3 linked regions of the Oryctolagus cuniculus genome follow. Each later gene encodes a partner of the first gene's protein in a complex. Links are inferred from orthologs where the notes say so. Each region holds a gene or a part of one and is shown in the gene's direction. Other genes may lie near its edges.

Evidence for each region. The genes of interacting proteins can lie anywhere in the genome.
Region 2: SNRPD3 (region 1) and SF3B5 share a complex: the UniProt entries of both Homo sapiens proteins name them as parts of the minor spliceosome. The link is inferred for Oryctolagus cuniculus from reciprocal best matches to the Homo sapiens genes SNRPD3 and SF3B5.
Region 3: SNRPD3 (region 1) and PRPF6 share a complex: the UniProt entries of both Homo sapiens proteins name them as parts of the U4/U6-U5 tri-snRNP complex. The link is inferred for Oryctolagus cuniculus from reciprocal best matches to the Homo sapiens genes SNRPD3 and PRPF6.

Annotation. Positions count from the first base shown.
Region 1 is NC_091452.1:31,110,819-31,118,109, reverse strand, and holds the start of SNRPD3 (small nuclear ribonucleoprotein Sm D3), read left to right. Parts: upstream 1-2,955; 5' UTR 2,956-3,069; intron 3,070-4,807; 5' UTR 4,808-4,825; coding exon 4,826-4,951; intron 4,952-7,291. Other genes in the region: protein GUCD1, read right to left, coding at 2,630-2,840. UniProt on the Homo sapiens protein: Plays a role in pre-mRNA splicing as a core component of the spliceosomal U1, U2, U4 and U5 small nuclear ribonucleoproteins (snRNPs), the building blocks of the spliceosome.
Region 2 is NC_091436.1:24,439,723-24,443,818, forward strand, and holds SF3B5 (splicing factor 3B subunit 5), read left to right. Parts: upstream 1-1,208; 5' UTR 1,209-1,352; coding exon 1,353-1,613; 3' UTR 1,614-1,940; downstream 1,941-4,096. UniProt on the Homo sapiens protein: Component of the 17S U2 SnRNP complex of the spliceosome, a large ribonucleoprotein complex that removes introns from transcribed pre-mRNAs.
Region 3 is NC_091442.1:203,446-209,208, reverse strand, and holds the start of PRPF6 (pre-mRNA-processing factor 6), read left to right. Parts: upstream 1-1,307; coding exon 1,308-1,648; exon of another isoform or gene 1,649-1,796; coding exon of another isoform or gene 1,797-1,819; intron 1,820-1,932; coding exon of another isoform or gene 1,933-2,073; intron 2,074-2,158; coding exon of another isoform or gene 2,159-2,330; intron 2,331-2,407; coding exon of another isoform or gene 2,408-2,589; intron 2,590-2,806; coding exon of another isoform or gene 2,807-2,872; intron 2,873-4,624; coding exon of another isoform or gene 4,625-4,715; exon of another isoform or gene 4,716-4,794; intron 4,795-5,763. Other genes in the region: SAMD10 (sterile alpha motif domain-containing protein 10), read right to left, coding at 1,797-1,819, 1,933-2,073, 2,159-2,330, 2,408-2,589, 2,807-2,872, 4,625-4,715. UniProt on the Homo sapiens protein: Involved in pre-mRNA splicing as component of the U4/U6-U5 tri-snRNP complex, one of the building blocks of the spliceosome.

The DNA of each region.
Region 1 (7,291 bases):
TGCCCCACTAGATGGAAGGAAGACTTCCTTGGCGGTGGGCGGGGACATTCGCCTCCACTTGGCCCTCAGCCCATAGCAGGCATGCAGACACGCTTGGTGAATGGAAGAGGCTTTCTCCAGAAACACTTTATCTCTTAACATGCCCACGCCAGTCTGTCACTACAGTGCACTCCCCTGGCCCCTCCGTCCTCCCCCACCCGCCCCAGTTTCCAGACTATTCCTCCACCCCAGGCTCTCTCTCTCCAGCCTGGAGCCTGAGTTCTGGCACTGACTGGCTGGGCCACCTCCTGCCAGGCTATGACCCTGCCTGTGGCCTCTGGCTTCCCCTACCCCCAGCTGGAAAATGTGGTACAGGAGAACTGCTCTCTGAGGACACTCAACTCCTCTCCTGTTCTTGTCCTCAGCCCTAGAATCCCTTGATCTGAGGCCAGCGCTGTGGCGTAGCGGGTAAACCCGCTTCCTGCAGTGCCAACATCGCATATGGTCGCCAGTTCGAGTCCCGGCTGCTCCTCTTCCAGTCCAGCTCTCTGCTGTGGCCTGGGAAAGCAGTGGAAGATGGTCCAAGTCCTTGGGCCCCTGCACCCACGTGGGAGACCCAGAAGAAGCTCCTGGCTCCTGGCTTGGTTTCAGCACAGCTCCAGCCGTTGCTGCCATTTGGGGAGTGAACTAGCAGATGGAAGACCTCTCTCTCTGCCTCTGCCTCTCTGTAACTCTGCCTTTTGAATAAAATAAATCTTAAAAAACAAAACATGAATCCGTTGATCCTAGGGTTCCCACAGGGCTAAACACCCCCCACGTGGCCATCCTCAGTCTTGGCACAGGCTGATCCGCCCACAGGGACCCGGATGCTTCTGCAGAGGGTGATAAGGGTAGGCGAGGCCTCTCGGCATTTGTCCTGATAACAGCTTAAGCTTTAGAGACAGCGCCAGATGTTGACATTCGTCCGGAGGCAAGCGTCTGCCTGGGAGGCCCCCGGCCTGGCTTCGGTCAGTGGCTGTTGCCCAACAGCCAAGGAAGGAAGGCAGTCCACTGACTGTGGATACGGGTCTGCAAAACAGCAACCGGCACCAGTGACCAGCTTCACTGGGCTGTTACGAGGACTGCGAGGGCACTGCAGGTAAACATTTGAACACAACGCCTGCTTCCTGGACTGCTCCCTCCCAACATAAGCCCTGACTCCTCGGGGGCTCAGGAGCCGCACCACTCTTGCCCAAGACCAGAAAGAACTGGAAGGGTAGGACTCTAAATCCCCAGGTGACATCAGGCCCAATGTCACGCTGCCGCCACCAAAGAGATCACTCCTGGCAGTCGCGGTCCCCCCTATTGCTCCACCTCTCTCCCACGAGTGCGCCCCTCGGAACCTGCCGGGGCACTGTCCCTTTCTCATCAACTCTGAGCTGCAGGAAGCCGACTTCCAACCTCCCCTACTTCTTGGACAAGCAAACTGAGGCCCAGGGCACTGAGCGGTATTCTCAGGCTCCAGCCCAGAGGGGCTCAGGTTACCTTGGGGCAGAAGGAACCAGAGAATGGTAACCGTAGCAAGCAAACAAGACTAGCTACGTCCTGCAAGCTAAGGGAAGGGCCCACCCAGGTCCCTGCCCACCCAGGTTCAGTTCCCCCAAGAGAGCGGACTCTCCCAAGGCGGCTACAGGAGGACTTTTGCGTAGTTGGCACCCTCTCCACCCGGGGCCCTCCCACGTGACCGCCAGCACAGCTGACTGGGGTCCCTGCCCTGTTAGTATCAGGAAACCCCAGCTGACCAGAGGCTGGGGGAAGGGAGAAGAGCCCGAGGCAAGGGTGTCCACCTGGCCATGATTTCGCTACAGCTCCACAGCCTGGGCAGAGACGGCCAGGGACGCGCGCGGATGGACCCTGCTCCGCGCTAGGGCGGGGTCCCCCTCATTCCCCGGGGCTGAGGGCTGGGCCCTCAGAGAGAGGCACTGACCCGGCTCGAGCGGCGGCCCCGCTGCCTCCGCCTCCGTCCTCATGACCCGCGCAGCACGGGGCGCCCATGGCCCCGGCCCGCTGCGGGCTGCAGCTTCGGCTTCAGCTGGCGCAGGAGCGCAGCCAATGCGTGTCGAACGCCGTAGCCGCCGCCGCCACCGCCACAGCGGGGAGAAGCGGAGGCGGCGGCCGGGCAGCCCCAAGCCCCGCCCCAGCCACTCCAGGTCTTGGATCCGGAGGCCCCGCCCCTCCCCTAATCCCCGCCCCTTCCCAGTCCCAGACTTCGATTCCTAGAGGCTTCCAGCCTCATGATTTAAGCCCGGCCTGGCCATTCACAGTCTCGGTTTCTGGTAGCTCCGCCCCCTTACCGAATCCTCGCGCAGACGCGCGGGCCCTTCCTTCGCTCGGTCCCCCGGAAGCTCCGCCCCTTCTGAGCCCCTCCCCGAGGGCTCGGCGCAGCGCAAACACTGGCTCCCCAGGGGCTCTTTCCCTCAGCAAGCCCCGCCTCTGCCAGGCCCCACCCCTTTGCCGGCTTCAGCTGTAAGCCGGCTCCGGCCCTGTGATTGCCTAGGGTCCAGGCAACCGTACTCTGATCTCTTTAGTGCTGAGCCGGCCCCTGCTCCACTTGGTACCTCAGTTTCTCTGTCCAGACACGACACCTCCCCTCTCTGAGAGTTCCCGTTACCTGGCAGTGCCGGGTTCCAAAGATTAAATTGTGAGGGGAGGTCCCAGCCCTCATTCCCACTTCCTGCTGCCCCGGATCCGAGGACCCAGGCTGTAGATCCCCTCCTTGTCGTCCAGCCAGTCTTTTGTGAGGGGTGCTTGGAAGCGCAAGCCCCCCTCTCCCGTTTCGGGCCCCCGCGTCGGGGCTTCCGGCGGCCCCCGGGCCCTGTCATCAGCCCTCTCTTCCGGCGCCGGAACTATCGTACCTGGGTCCGCGTTTCCCAGCCGGCGGAGTAAGGAGGAAGCGGAGACGAGCTCGCGCTCTGGGACGGTCCCCGCGCGCGGCATTCTGGGAGCGCGTGGTATTCTGGGAGTGCAAGGCCCGCCATTCGCCCCGCTCACGCCTTCTCTCTCGCAGTTGTTGTCGCAGCACCGAAGAGGAGGAAGAAGGGGCTCGAGCCGGTGAGTAGGGGCCGGGGACGGGAAAGGGGAGGCCTAGGCGCTCGTGAGGGATCGGGGGCTGGGGCAGGACGCGCTGCAAGGAACCGCGCAGGGCTCCGGGAGGGAAGGAAGCGGGAAGCCGGGACACCCAGACACCCGCGTCGCCTCGCCTGAGCCTGGGGAGTGAGTTCGTTACCTCCCCCTCGTTTCTGGCTGCTTAGCCTCGTCCCTGAACTCCATCGGCGTCATCCTTGGCCTCCAGCCCCCTTTTCCGGCGCTGATGCAGCCCCTCGTGCTTTCCACGCCATTGCAAAAGCGTTTTCCGAAGTTCCTCTGCTTCTGAACTGTGTGTTCGATTTGGCCTGTAAACGCTGATACCTTTCCATTGGGTCGTTCCTTCCTTGAGATCCCGCGCTGGTTCCGTGCTCTCTGAAACGTAACATTCCAGCTCTGGCGGCGGAGGGCTGGGGATCCTCACGGAGCGAGCCTGGCTGCCCTGTCGTGTTCTCCCTTATTTCGTGCCAGCCTTGCGTCCTTACCTGGCTCAATAAAAACTCCACTGCTTGTCTCTCAACTACGTCGGCAGATCCTTGTGTTTTTCCTCCAAGATAAGCAGTTTCCTACACGTTGTCCCTTTGTGACCGCTTTGCTGTTTTCTCTTTAGCTTTAACAGTAAAGCGAATGGAAAGTCAGAGGCTGAAATAAAAACACAGCCTCCTCTCCTGGATATGTCTGGGTCCTCTGGTTGGTTGGTTTGTTTGTAAGATTCATTTATCTGAAAGGCAGAGTTACACAGTCGGGGTCGGGGGCAGGCAGAGAGAGAGATCTTCCATCCCCTGGTTCACTCCCTCAAATGACTGCAACGGCTGGAGCTGGGGGCCAGGCCAGAGTCAGGATCTTCTCCCCGGTCTCCCACAGGTTCAGGGGCCCAAGCATTTGGCCCATCCTCTCCTGCTTTCCCAGGCTATCAGCAGAGATCTGGAGTGGCAGTAGACAGCCGGGACTTGAACCAGTGCCCCTGTGGGATGCCGGTGTACCCGCTGCACCCCATCGTGGTTTTCAGGATGCAGTCACCCACAGCTGTGGATAGGCAGATGTGTTGCTCAGCATGGACGTTCCGAGCGCCTCTCTCCCAACACACAGACCACATTGGTCACTGGTTATCTTGGCCAAGGAAAAGGGACATGAGGGGCCAGTGTTGTGGGGCAGCTGGTTAAGCTGCCACCTGTGACGCTGGCACCCACGTGAGAGTGCCAGGCTGATTCTCAGCTGCTCCATTTCCTATCCAACTCCCTGCCAGTGCTCCTGGGAGGCAGCAGATAATGGCCTGAGGTTTGAGCCCCTTGCCACCCACATAGGGAGACCCAGATGCAGTTCCAGGCTTTGCAGCCATTTGGGGAGTGGCCCAGCGGATGGAAGATCTCTCTCTCTCTCTCTCTGTATCTGTATCTGTGTCCCTTACTCTGTCTCTAGGTAAAGGGACATGGGAGCAGGTGAGGAGTAGGGAGGTAGGTGGGAGATTCTTTTCCTTTCCGTGAGCTTTCCTTCTGTCCAGCACGCTGTCTCTCCCCTCTTCATATTGTGTGTATTTGCCAGGAAGGCTCCTCCAAGCCAGGAGCTGAGCTGCTCTTGTGTAGAAAATGCAGCTTTGGCACCGGTGTTAGGTTTTATGGGGTCCAGGCCTTGGGGAGACATGGTGCGCACCACACGCGGCCTCTGGCTCTGAAGGCTGGGCTCACTGCTGTGTCTCCCACCACAGCACTCTCCTCCTGCCGAGATGTCCATCGGTGTGCCGATCAAAGTCCTGCACGAGGCCGAGGGCCACATCGTGACCTGCGAGACCAACACCGGCGAGGTGTATCGGGGCAAGCTCATCGAGGCAGAAGACAACATGAACTGCCAGGTACGGGAGGCTGGCGGCGTCTCCATTGTGCCCGACGTGTGGCAGGCGCTGCCGCGGGCTCCGGGACTGTGGGCCTGAGCAAGAGACAGTACTGGGGCAAAGAACCGTATGGAGATTTGGAATAGTTAACTTTGGCCTTTGCCTTCTCCATCCCATAATTGTCCCCTCCCAACTCCCCATTTTAAAGATTTATTATTTATTTGAAAGGCAGAGAAAGAGAGGGAGAGATCTTCCATCTACTGGTTCACTCCCCCAAATGGCCACAGTGGTTGGATCTGGGCTGATCTGAAACTGGGAGCCGGGAGCTTCTCCCAGGACTCCCACGTACAGGGACCCAAGCACTTGGGCCATCTTCTACTGCTTTCCCAGGTGCATTAGCAGGCTCAGAAGTGAAGTAGCTGGGACTTGAACCGGTGCCCGTATGGGATTCCAGTGTTGCAGGCAGTGGCTTCCCCTGCTACACCACAGTGCCAGCCTCTCCCATGTTTTGGGGCCTGTTTGAGAGAAATGGTGTTACCACCTTCAGCAGAATTCTTCAGGTTCAGGGCCATTACCCTCCCACCCCCACCACCCCACACAGTGAGCAGAAACCTGTGTGCTCTTTTTCTTAGAAGAGGGGTCATGTTTGATTACTGCAGCTGCCTAGTGAGGTAAATGAGTTTGGTGATAGTCTCGGCATCCAGGAAAGAGGGAGAATGTGGTTAAAGGACTCATCTACTGAATATTGCTCTGCTAATAAATGATAGAGCAACTTTCTAACGTGGTGTCTTTCTCAAAGCACTGCTTTTTACATAGTCAGGTAAATTTAAAACAAAAAGATTTATTTGAAAGGCAGAGTTACAGCGAAAGAGTGGGAGAGATAGCTTCCATCTGCTGGTTCACTTCCCAAATGGCCGCAATGGCCGGAGCTGAGCCAAGCCAAAGCCAAGAGCTTCTTCTGGGTCTCCCACATGGATGCAGGGGCCTGAGCACTTGGGCCATCTTCTACTGCTTTCCCAGGCCATAGCAGAGAGCTGGATCAGAAGTGGAGCAGCCGGGACTCAAACCGGCGCCCACATGGGATGCTGGCACTGCAGGTGGCGGCTTTACCTGCTATGCTGCAGCACCATCAAGTATTTTTTATAGCATTATTTTCCAGAGTGTCAGCACATGTTCTTTTTTTGTTTAAAATTTTATTTATTTATTTGAATGGCAGAGGGAGAGAGATCTTGCATCTGTTGGTTTATTCCCCATATATTCAAAGTAGCTGGAGCTGAGCCAGGCCAAGGCAGGAGCCTAGAACTCTACCCAGTTCTCCCACGTGGGTGGCAGAGGCCCAAGCACTTCCAAGGTCTCCCACTACCTTCAGAGGCGTGTTAGCAGGGAACGGATCAGAAGCATGACAACCACAACTTGAACCAGCCTTCTTTTTTTTTTTTTTTTTTTTTTTTAATTTGACAGGTAGAGTTATAGACAGTGAGAGAGAGAGACAGAAAGGTCTTCTATTGGTTCACCCCCTAAATGGCCGCTACGGCCAGCACTGCACGGATCCAAAGCCAGAAGCCAGGTGCTTCCTCCTGGTCTCCCATGCTGGGTGCAGGTGCCCAAGCACTTGGGCCATCCTCCACTGCCCTCTGGGCCATGGCAGAGAGCTGGACTGGATGAGGAGCAATTGGGACTAGAACTCGGCGCCCATATGGGATGCCAGCACTGCAGGTGGAGGATTAACCAAGTGAGCCACGGCACTGGCCCCTGAACCAGCCTTCTGATACGAGATGCTGACATCGCAATCCGCTGCTTAACCCACTGCACCACAATGCCCTTTATTCTTTAAACCGTTGGTTAGGAGCCCAAGCTCTGGGAGCAGGAATTTTGCCTGATGGTTAAGATGCCAGTTGGGATTTCAGTATCTCGTGTCTAAACACCTGTATTTGAGCGCCGCTTCCACTCCTGGTTCCTTCTAACTGTGCACCCTGGTGGGCAAGAAACTGAGTCCATAGCACCCACCTGAGAGACCTGGATTGAGTTCTTGGTTCCAGGTTTTGCCCTGGGCCAACCTTTTGCGGGCATTTTTGGAGAGTGAACCAGTGGATGGGAGCTCTCTCTCTTTCTCAAGTAAATATGTTTTGTTTTGTTTTGTTTTTTAAGGAACTTGGGTTTTGGAATCAGAAATTGGAGAGACATGACTCTGAACCCTGGCTATATGACCTCAGGTTTAGTAGCCACATACCTTCCTCATCAGTGAAATGGGGGTGCTGCTATTTTGGGTGCCCTGAGACATAGCTGCTAGGACAACTGGATGTGTGAGATAGTGGAAAATGACAGGGAGAATGAGAAGAGGGAGCAGAACTGTCAGACCCG
Region 2 (4,096 bases), on another chromosome or scaffold:
AAAAGCAACTTTTACAGCATTATATATGCTACTCATAGGTTTAAACCATGCCTATCAGCTATTGTTTATGGATACACAAACTTTCAGCAATTGGAAAACAGAATGATTGACATTAAATCCAGGACAGTGTCCAAGAGATGAGGGAAGGGAACGCGGAGAACGTTTATTTGCAGAATTTATCTCTTAAAAATCAAAACAAAATCAGGACAAATACGGCAAAATGTCAAGGTTTGATACACCTAGAGGATGAAGCCAAAGATATACCTTATAAATTTTCCACACTTTAGGAATGAATTGTCAAGCTGAAAAGAGCAAAACAAAACTGCTTTTTAAAGTTCTTGCTCTCCGGGCAGCGTTCCTCTCTTTGGCTGTAGTTGTCTCTCTATCCCTCAACTGTTTTTTGGAGAACACAATCTATCAGGCTGTACGAATATCCAAAAAGGATATCCTAAGATAAGTATGGGTTTGTTTTTTCCTCAAGTATTTCTACCGCCGTGAATTTTAAACCAAAAGGTAAAACATAAAGCGAAAATCAGATGCAAAGGAGGAGCCAACCGAAGGCAGACGCGTCGCCGCGGGAACAAAGCCTTTCCCGCGGGCGCTAACGGCTCCGAAGGGGACGCGGGCGCGCGCGGCACCTGGCCGAGTGCGGGCCGGGGTCGTGGGGGTCGGCGTGGAGTCGCCGGGGGCCACCAGCCCGAGAGGCGAGACCGAAGGAGTGTGCGCCGGGGGCGCCCAAGCGACTCGGCCCCGGGGCTGTGCAGGGTCACCGAACGGGAACGGCGGCCCCGCTAGAGCGTGGGACCAGAGGTCGCGTCTGCCGACCTCAGTAAGCCACCCGATTGTGAAGGGGCTACCGTGCCGCCTCGTCAGCGCCTAATTACACCAAGGGTTTATTTTCTTGGTTGCCTGTGCCACTGGCCCACTGGCCCACTTTCTCTTAGCACCGGGCCGACAACGCATGCTCCCCGCCTCTGGGGTTCTGCCCTCCATTCAGCTCTTAAACCGCGGTCTCGGAAGAGACCACAAATCCCAGCATGCAAGACGCTACGTCAGTACAGGGCCACCCACGGACCACCAAGTGGACCATCATGCAACGCTCTCCGAGGGCGGGGGGCGGGACTCTGTTAAAGGGGCGGGACAGTTTCAGTGTCGCTAGGGCAACTCCAATACGGCTTCAAAATGTGCTTCCGCTTCCGCGTCCTCCGCCACTCCGTCGCTGTGACGCAATTTCTCTGCGACTGAGCGAGGCTGCCGGTTCCGTGTGCTGGCCTTTCTCCGGCGGGAAACCCGAGACCGGTTCCTAACCCTCGTGCGACTTCTGACTTCGGAGCGAAAGGGAAAGCGGCAAGATGACAGACCGCTACACCATCCACAGCCAGCTGGAGCACCTGCAGTCCAAGTACATCGGCACGGGCCACGCCGACACCACCAAGTGGGAGTGGCTGGTGAACCAGCACCGCGACTCCTACTGCTCCTACATGGGCCACTTCGACCTTCTCAACTACTTCGCCATCGCGGAGAATGAGAGCAAAGCGCGAGTGCGCTTCAACTTGATGGAGAAGATGCTGCAGCCTTGCGGCCCCCCCGCTGACAAGCCCGAGGAAAACTGAGACGGCGCCTCCTCCAGCGAGCCTCCCGATCGCCGGCGTTGCCCGCGCGTTCCTGTCTCCAGTGGACTGGTTCTTCCGCGACTCCTTGCTTCTCCGGCCTTCCGGGTGCAGAAGTGCTCGCCGAGGTGTCCCGCCGGTGCTGTCTTCACGTGGATCCCTCGGGACGCAGCACCAGGACCGCCGGGGCTCCCTGAGAACTGCGGGTGAAGAGGTCCGAGAGCTGGCGGGCGTTGGGGAAGACGGCACTGGAGTGAGGGGATTTGGAGGCTCGTGTTTGACTTAGTTGATTGTCGCGTTGCCTTTTTCATAAAGTTTAGAATCTGTTAAGTCTCTTGGTGTGATCTGTTTGTGTTCCAGGGGAGAAGGCTGGGGAGGACTCGGAACCAAAGGTTCTGTGCGTGTGCAAGTAGGAGAGGGTGGGTGGAGGGCACAGAACCAGCCTGCCTTGCCAGGCACTGAAATCCGCCCAGCATGCCCTTTGGGGAGCTTCAGAAAGCCCCTGGAAGGTTAAGCCTCCGCCTGCAGTGCCAGCATCCTATATGGGCAGCTGGTTGGAGGCCTGGCCCCTGCACTTCTGATCCAACTTCTTGCTAATGCTCCTGGGAAAGCAGAGAAGGGTAGCCCAAGTGCTTGGGCCACAGGCACCCATGTGGGAGACCCGAAAGAAGCTCCAGGTTTCAGTCTAACCCAGCCCTGGCCATTGCTGCCATCTGGGGAGTGAACCAGCAGATGGAAGATTCTCTTTCTCCGACTCTGTATTTCTAACTTTAAAATAAATGAAATTTTATTATTTTTTTTAATTTTTTTATTTTTGACAGGCAGAGTGGACAGTGAGAGAGAGAGACAGAGAGAAAGGTCTTCCTTTGCCGTTGGTTCACCCTCCAATGGCCGCCGCGGCCGGTGCGCTGCGGCCGGCGCACCGCACTGATCCGATGGCAGGAGCCAGGAGCCAGGTGCTTTTCCTGGTCTCCCATGGGGTGCAGGGCCCAAGCACCTGGGCCATCCTCCACTGCACTCCCTGGCCACAGCAGAGGGCTGGCTTGGAAGAGGGGCAACCGGGACAGAATCCGGCGCCCCGACCGGGACTAGAACCCAGTGTGCCGGTGCCGCTAGGCAGAGGATTAGCCTAGTGAGCCGCGGCGCCGGCAAAATAAATGAAATTTTAAAAGCCCCTAGAAAGTTCGACTTCTAATTCCATTTTTCCATCAACTTTGTGAAGCCTCCTTGTGTTCAGAACTCAGATTTACCTGAAAAAAAATTTTCAGATCCATAGTGCCTTCAGGTTTGAGGTTTTTTTTATTATTCTACCTTTTTCTTTCATTTTAAACCGCATCCCTTGGGAATTTCTGACTGTTCTTCAGAAATGACAAGCTGGCAAGCAAGTTGTTCTTTCGTCACCTAACGTATTTGTTGGGTTTTATGTGATAGGCTTTTTGCTATACTTTGGGGGCTTACATTATGCTGGTAAACAACGCCAAAGTGTTGGCATAATCAGCAAGTGTTAGAAGATGCTAGGGCCTGAGAGCAGAGAGGCTTGCAGTTTTTTGTTTTTCTGTTTTTTTTTTGTTTGTTTGTTTTTTTGTTGTTTTTTTTTTTTTTTTTTTTTTTTTGACAGAGTGGACAGTGAGAGAGACAGAGAGAAAGGTCTTCCTTTGCCGTTGGTTCACCCTCCAATGGCCGCCGTGGCCGGCGTGCTGCGGCCAGTGCACTGCGCTGATCAGGAGCCAGGTGCTTCTCCTGGTCTCCCATGGGGTGCAGGGCCCAAGCACTCGGGCCATCCTCCACTGCACTCCTGGGCTACAGCAGAGAGCTGGCCTGGAAGAGGGGCTACTGGGACAGAATCCAGTGTGCCAGCGCCGCAAGGCGGAGGATTAGCCTGTTGAGCCACGGCGCCGGCCCAGGTTTGCAGTTTTAAATATGATACTTAGATTACTGAGATGGTGGCATATAGCAAAGACGAAGGAATTGAGGGAAATAGCGAAGCAGAGGGAACTGCTGGTGTGATAGTCCTAAGTCTGGCAGTGTGCTTGTAGGAATGGCAAAGAAGTAAGGCTGAAGGCAGTGAGAAAGGGAGAATAGAAAGGCAACACATGGGGCTGGCCCTGTGGTGTTGCAGGTAAAGCCAAGGCTTGCAGCGTTGGCATCCTATATGGGTGCCAGTTCATGTCCTTGCTGTTTCACTTCGCATCCAGCTCTCTGCTCTGGCCTGGGAAAGCAGTAGAAGATGGCCCAGTGCTTGGGCCCCTGCACCTGTGTGGGAGACCTGGAAGAAGCTCCTGACTCCTGGCTTCAGATCAGTGCAGCTCTGGCTTTGGGGCCATTTGGGGGAGTGAACCAGCAGATAAAAGACTCTCTCTCTCTCTCTCTCTCTCTCTCTCTGCCTCTGCCTCTCTGTAACTCTCACTTTCAAATAAATAAATAAATCTTTTAAAAAAAAATGGAGCTTTGTCAGCCAATATAAGGACATTTGAGGAAAGTAAGGG
Region 3 (5,763 bases), on another chromosome or scaffold:
TGGACCCTGTGTGGGCCACAGCGTCCACAGGCTTCTGCTGTGTGTGCTGCTGCATCTGCTGAGTTTCAGACGCCCCAGGAAAGCTCATGGACCTCTGCACCCCGTTGGACACTGCTGCGCGGGAGGTAGAGACAGGTGCATAGCCCTCTCTCAGGCCCTCTGCTTCAGCACCCCCTGCCCAGCCTGGGGGCAGAACTCAGGTTCACCAGGACCTCGGGGGAGGGGCTGGCCTGGGTCCCCTGGGGCGAGACTTCATTGCCAGTGCCTGCCCAGGGCTGGCGAATGAACGGCCCGGTGCCCTCGTGTGCCTGGGTGGCCATACCGTGAGGCTGGGGTGTTGTGTCCCGACCCTGCCCTGTGTGGGAGGCTGGAGCCCCGACCCTACAGGGGAGGCCTTCTTTGGAGGAGGGTTGCACACAGAGTCCCTGCCTGGGGAGATGAGAGGGAGCCAGGGCCAACAGGCAGGCACCAGAAACCCGAAGGGGCTTGGAGGCCCCACTGGGGTTGGCCTCTGGCCTCAGAGAAGGCAAAGGCCCCATCCCGGGACAGCAGCCCCAGGACCCCCCGTGGGGCGCCCCGGCTGTGGCCTCCGCCTTGGGGGAGGCCTCTTCAGAACGCAGCTCCACTGCCCCCTGGTGGCGCGGCCTGCAGGCAGCCAGGCATGCCGCCCCCCCCCCCCACACCCAGTGCAGCAGGCACTTGAGAACCACGTTTATTTGTTTGTTTTTTTCTTCTCTTTGTCAGAGTATAAAAAAGTGAACGCAAGACAAGACAAGACAGGGGCACGGGGTGGGCAAGACAGAGGCAGGAGGATGGGTGGCGGCAGGAAGGGCTCCCTGGGGAAAGACCTATAGCACAGGGTGGTCGGGGACAGGGACACGGGCAGCTGGGGGTCATGGCACAGGACGGAGGTGCCAGGCCAGTTTTCCGAATGCCACTCGGGACCTGCGGCTGCGATGACCAACCTCGCACCCAAGGCCGGCTCAGGGCACACAGAGGGGCTGGGCTCAGCCTCATCTGTCCCTGAGAGAGCCCGGGGGGGGGGGGAGTGGGAGAGGGCTGCCCTGCACCCAGGGAGGGGATGCTCTGGCGTCTGTGGGCAGATGTGGGGCCGAGGCCCTTGGGACAGCCTCTCCTGTGAATCCAGATCTTCCCGGGAGAGTGACAACGGAAAATGTCTGTGCCACTGACCCGGGCAGAAGATGCTGGATCGCAATAGTCCCCCAGGCACCGGCTGAGGAGCAGCACTGAGCCCAGGCCCCTGCGTGAGGTCACCTCATTGGGTGGCTTCGTCTTCACGGGTGTGGATGCCCCCTGGCCTCAGTTCTCACGGACTCGGAGCAGGGAGCCAGCTTCAGCATGCGCTGGGTGTGGCAGCCAGCCGCTGGGTTCTGATGACCATTCCTCTGGGCCGTGAGTTGGGCCTGCCGGGCCCTGGCAGGGACAGGAGGGGCACCGAGCTAGGAGGGCTGAGGAGTTCATCCCAGCTGGGTGGCAGACGGGTCAGTGCTGTGACGCTGCAGGCACCTGGCCATCTCTGGCTCGAGAGAGCTGCTGCACACGCGGCCAGCAGCACGTGCTCTGGTCCCAGGAGGAAGGGCGCCCAACCCCGATGCGGCGTGGAGTGCCCACCCAGAAGCACCTGGAGGTGAGCGTCCTGGTCCCGCCTGTCCACAGAACTGGGCTCTGCTGCCCAGGCGTCCACAGGGTCCGGGAGCTGAGCCGCCAGCACCATTTCGTCCCTGGCCACGGGCTCCAGTCACAGTGCTGGTCTGGGGTTTGAGCCTCAGCAGCAGCTAGGACATGTTTCCGAAGGAAGCTGCGGGGTAGATGGGGGCGAATGGGGGTGGACCCTTCCCGGGCCCCTCCAGCCAGTCTCCTGAGATCCTTCAGAGACCCCTCCCAGCCCCGCCCCCAGCCTCTCCCACAGACCTTGGCTGAGCAGCTGCAGGCTCCGCCCCTCCTCGCGCACCTGCAGGTGCAGCACCTGCTGTAGCACCTCCTGCCTCTGGGCCTCCTGCGCCAGCCCCATGCGTTGCAGCTTCTCCGCATTCAGCCGCAGCAGTGCCCGGCCTGCAGGGAGAGGGGCGGACAAGCTGAGGCCCACAGGGACACTCGGGACTCACCCAGGGGCGCGGGAGGGCAGCAGCCGGCGTACCGGTGATGGCGTGTTGGGAGAAGGCCTCGACATAGACGAGGTAGTTGTGGGGACAGTGCTTCTTGAGCCACTTGCACACGTCCTGCTGAGTCCACAGCACCACGGGCCGCGTCAGGCCGCCCAGCGGGGGGCTGGTGTGGTACAGGCCGTAGTGGTCCGAGTACAGCTGGCCCTGCAGGGAGAGGAGGGTGGTGGGCGCAGTGAGGGTGGCGTAGTGGGCGCGGGGGGCGGGGGCGGGCGGCGGGGTACCTGGGGGGCCTCTGTGCCTGGCTGCTGCAGGAGCTTGATGGGTCTGCTGCCGCACGCCCTCTGGCTGCGGGGGTCGTGCCACGTGAGGCTGGTGCCCGGCGTTCGAGGCAGGTGGCAGGGGATGCTCTCGGCGGACACCGTGTGCTCCAGGACGGTCCGGCAGAAGCTGAAGTGGGCGGTGGCTGTGTGCGGGGGCCCTGGTCAGGCTCCTGAGAGGCAGCTCCCCTGTCGTGCCCGTCTCCTCCCCACCCCTGAGGGGAGTCACATCCCCAAGCCCCCCCCCCCCCGGCAGGAGTCCAGAGACTGGAGGCACCACGCCTCCTACCTGCAGAGGACCCACACTCCAGGGAGCCAGGCAAGGGGCGGCAGGGGCGGCAGGGGCAGCCTTGAGCTATACACCTTGCCTAGGGCTGGCCTCTGAGCCTCCCGCATGCAGCACAGGACCTGCATATGCACACACGGGACCTGGGCATACACACACAGGATTAGTGCACACACACACGAGACCCGTGTACACACACACATAGTACCTGTGCACACATACACATGGGACCAGAGCACACACACGGGACCTGGACACACACATACACACAGGATCAGTGTGCACACACACAAGACTTGCATGTACACACACGAGACCTGCACATACACACATGGCACCAGGGCACATAAACAGAACCTGTGCACACACACACAGGATCTTCATTCACATACATGGGATCTGGGCACACACACAAGGACCTGTGCACACACACTGGACCTACAGGCACTCACATGGGACCTGGGCACACACACAGGACCTGCAAACACACATATGGGACCCATGCACACACACACTGGACCTACAGGCACTCACATGGGACCTGTGTGCGTGTGTGCATACGTATGGGACCTGTGCACACACACATGGGACCTGCAGGCACACACACAGGACCTGTGCACACACACTGGACCTACAGGCACTCACATGGGACCTGTGCACACATACATGGGACCTGCAGGCACACACACAGGACCTGTGCACACACATGAGACCTATAGGCACGCATATGGGACCTGTGCACACACATAGGACCTGCAAACACACACACTGGATCTACATGCACACACACACAGGACCTGTGCACACACACACAGGACCTGTGTGCACACACACGGGACCTGCAGGCACACACATGGGACCCACATGCACACACACAGGACTTGCAGACACACATATGGGACCTGTGCATACACAGGACGCACACACACACAGGACCTGCAGACACACATATGGGATCTGTGCACACACATGGGACCTGTGCACACACATGGGACCTGGGCACACACAAGGGACCCACACACACACACACACACACAGGACCTGCCTTTGCAGAGGGCAGGCCCTGCCTGCTGGGCAGCCTTTGCAGGGAGACGGTCCCACTGAAGTCGCCCTGGCCCGAAACACTGTGTCCACAGCCCTGCCCCATGTCCCTCCTGACGGCCTGCCCTGGCAAATCCTCCCGCACCACAAGCTGGGCCCAGGACAGCACCTGGTGCTTAGCACAGGGGTGCAGCCATTGCCCAGAGACCCCAGTGACGCCCCTTCCTCCCTGCTCCTTCAGCCTGTTTCCCGGTGCTGGTACCCCCGGGGCAGGCAGCGGCTCCGCGGACCCTCTCCCATCCCGGTGGGATCCCGGCTGCTGTCAGGTCGCGGTGCACAGGCGGCGCCCCGGGCCCCGCCCCCGACACAGCCGGCGGGTCCTGCGGCGGCCGGGCTGGCCCTGGTCTCGCGCTGAGCAATGGGGGAACCCTCGGTCTTGCACCCCGTAAGGCTCCGGCGACCCTGGGAACCTCAGAGGCCCAGACTTAAGGGTGTGGCCACTGCGGCCACCGAGGGAGCCCGGTGCGGCGGGGACCGGTTCCCAGGATCTCCGGGCGCTCGGCGCCGCGCCCCGGGAACCGCATCTGCCCGGAGCCGGCGGGGCCCGCCCATTTCCTGCCGGCACCCGGCGCGGGTTGATCCCTCCCCGCCTCAACGTCCCGTTCCAGGAGGGAGGGGCAGGGGAGCGGGGCTGCAGCCTGGGTACCTCCCGAAAGGTGACCCCGGTGCGGGACAGGCGCGGCCGGGCTCAGCCCACCCCACGCCGCGGAGGCCGGCCGCCCCCAGCGCAGCACAGAGGCCGTGGGGACACGCTCAGGCCAGGGGGCCCCCGCCCGCGCCCGCGTCCCGCTCACCGTCCACATCCCGGCGCTCCCCGAAGCCCGCGCGCACAGCCGCGGCGCGGCCTCGCGGGGGGCTTCGGTTGGCCCTCAGCTCGGCGAACATGGGGCCCGCGGCGCCGCCCGCGCACGCCCCTGGCCGCGCAGGCGGCCGGTGTGGCCGGCGGGGAGCGCGCGCCGCCCCGCCCCGCCCCGCCCGGCCGCCCCGCCGAGCCGGTTCGGCCCGCGAGTCTGCGCGGCGAGGCACCTGCCGCCGGCCCGAGCGCAGCGCGCTCCAGGCGCTCCGAGGTGGGGCGGCGCGCGCGGGGCCGCGTGTGCCTGGCGTGTGTGTTCTCGGGGCGCGAGTCGCCGCGCACCTGCCGGGGTCGCCCTCTCCGGGGGCTTTGACCGACCGGGGCCAGGCAGGGGGCCCCGGCCCCCTCGTCCCCGCTGATATAATCGGGTTTCTTAGGCCTCTCCCTCAGATGGGCACCTGCTTCCCAGAGAAGCCCGCGCGACCCTCCCCTGCCATCCCCCACTCCTGCTGGCCTGGAGGCAGCTCCCCTCGCCCTGCAGTCCCAGCGCGAGCCGTGGGGGAGCTGCGCTGGCAGGTGCAGGCTCGAGAACGCACAAGGGGCGAGAGAGGCTCGAGGAGGCCGAGGCCGTGGGGCAGCGGGGGCGCCTGCTCCAGGGTCCTGGCTGGAGGTGCTGGGGACCGGCACAGGGGTCTTTGGCCTGAGCTGTGAGGAAAACGAGGCTTGCGAGTGGCTGAGCTTTCTGCCTTGCCTGGGCCCTGTGGGGGCTGCAGAATCGCAGGTGCAGCACCCGGTCCTCCACCGGCCTGCGTGTCCTGGGAGGCAGTGGGGACCTCGAGTCACGGGGTCCCTGCCCCCGGGAGTGAGGCCTGCGTGGAGCTCCGGGCTGGCCCAGTGGGCAGGGGCGGCCTGATTCCAGCCCTGGCTACTCCCGCTTCCGATCCAGCTCCCTGCCAGTGCACTTGGGAGGCCGCAGAGGATGGCGCAAGTGCGGGGCCTCTGGCATCCACAAGGGAGACCCGGTGGAGCTCCCAGCTCCCGGCTTCAGCCCAGCGCAGCCCTGGTCCTCGTGGCCATTTGGGGCGCGCCTGGCAGCTCTGTCACTCCGCCTTTCAGAAAAACAAAGGAGTGCGTGCCCAG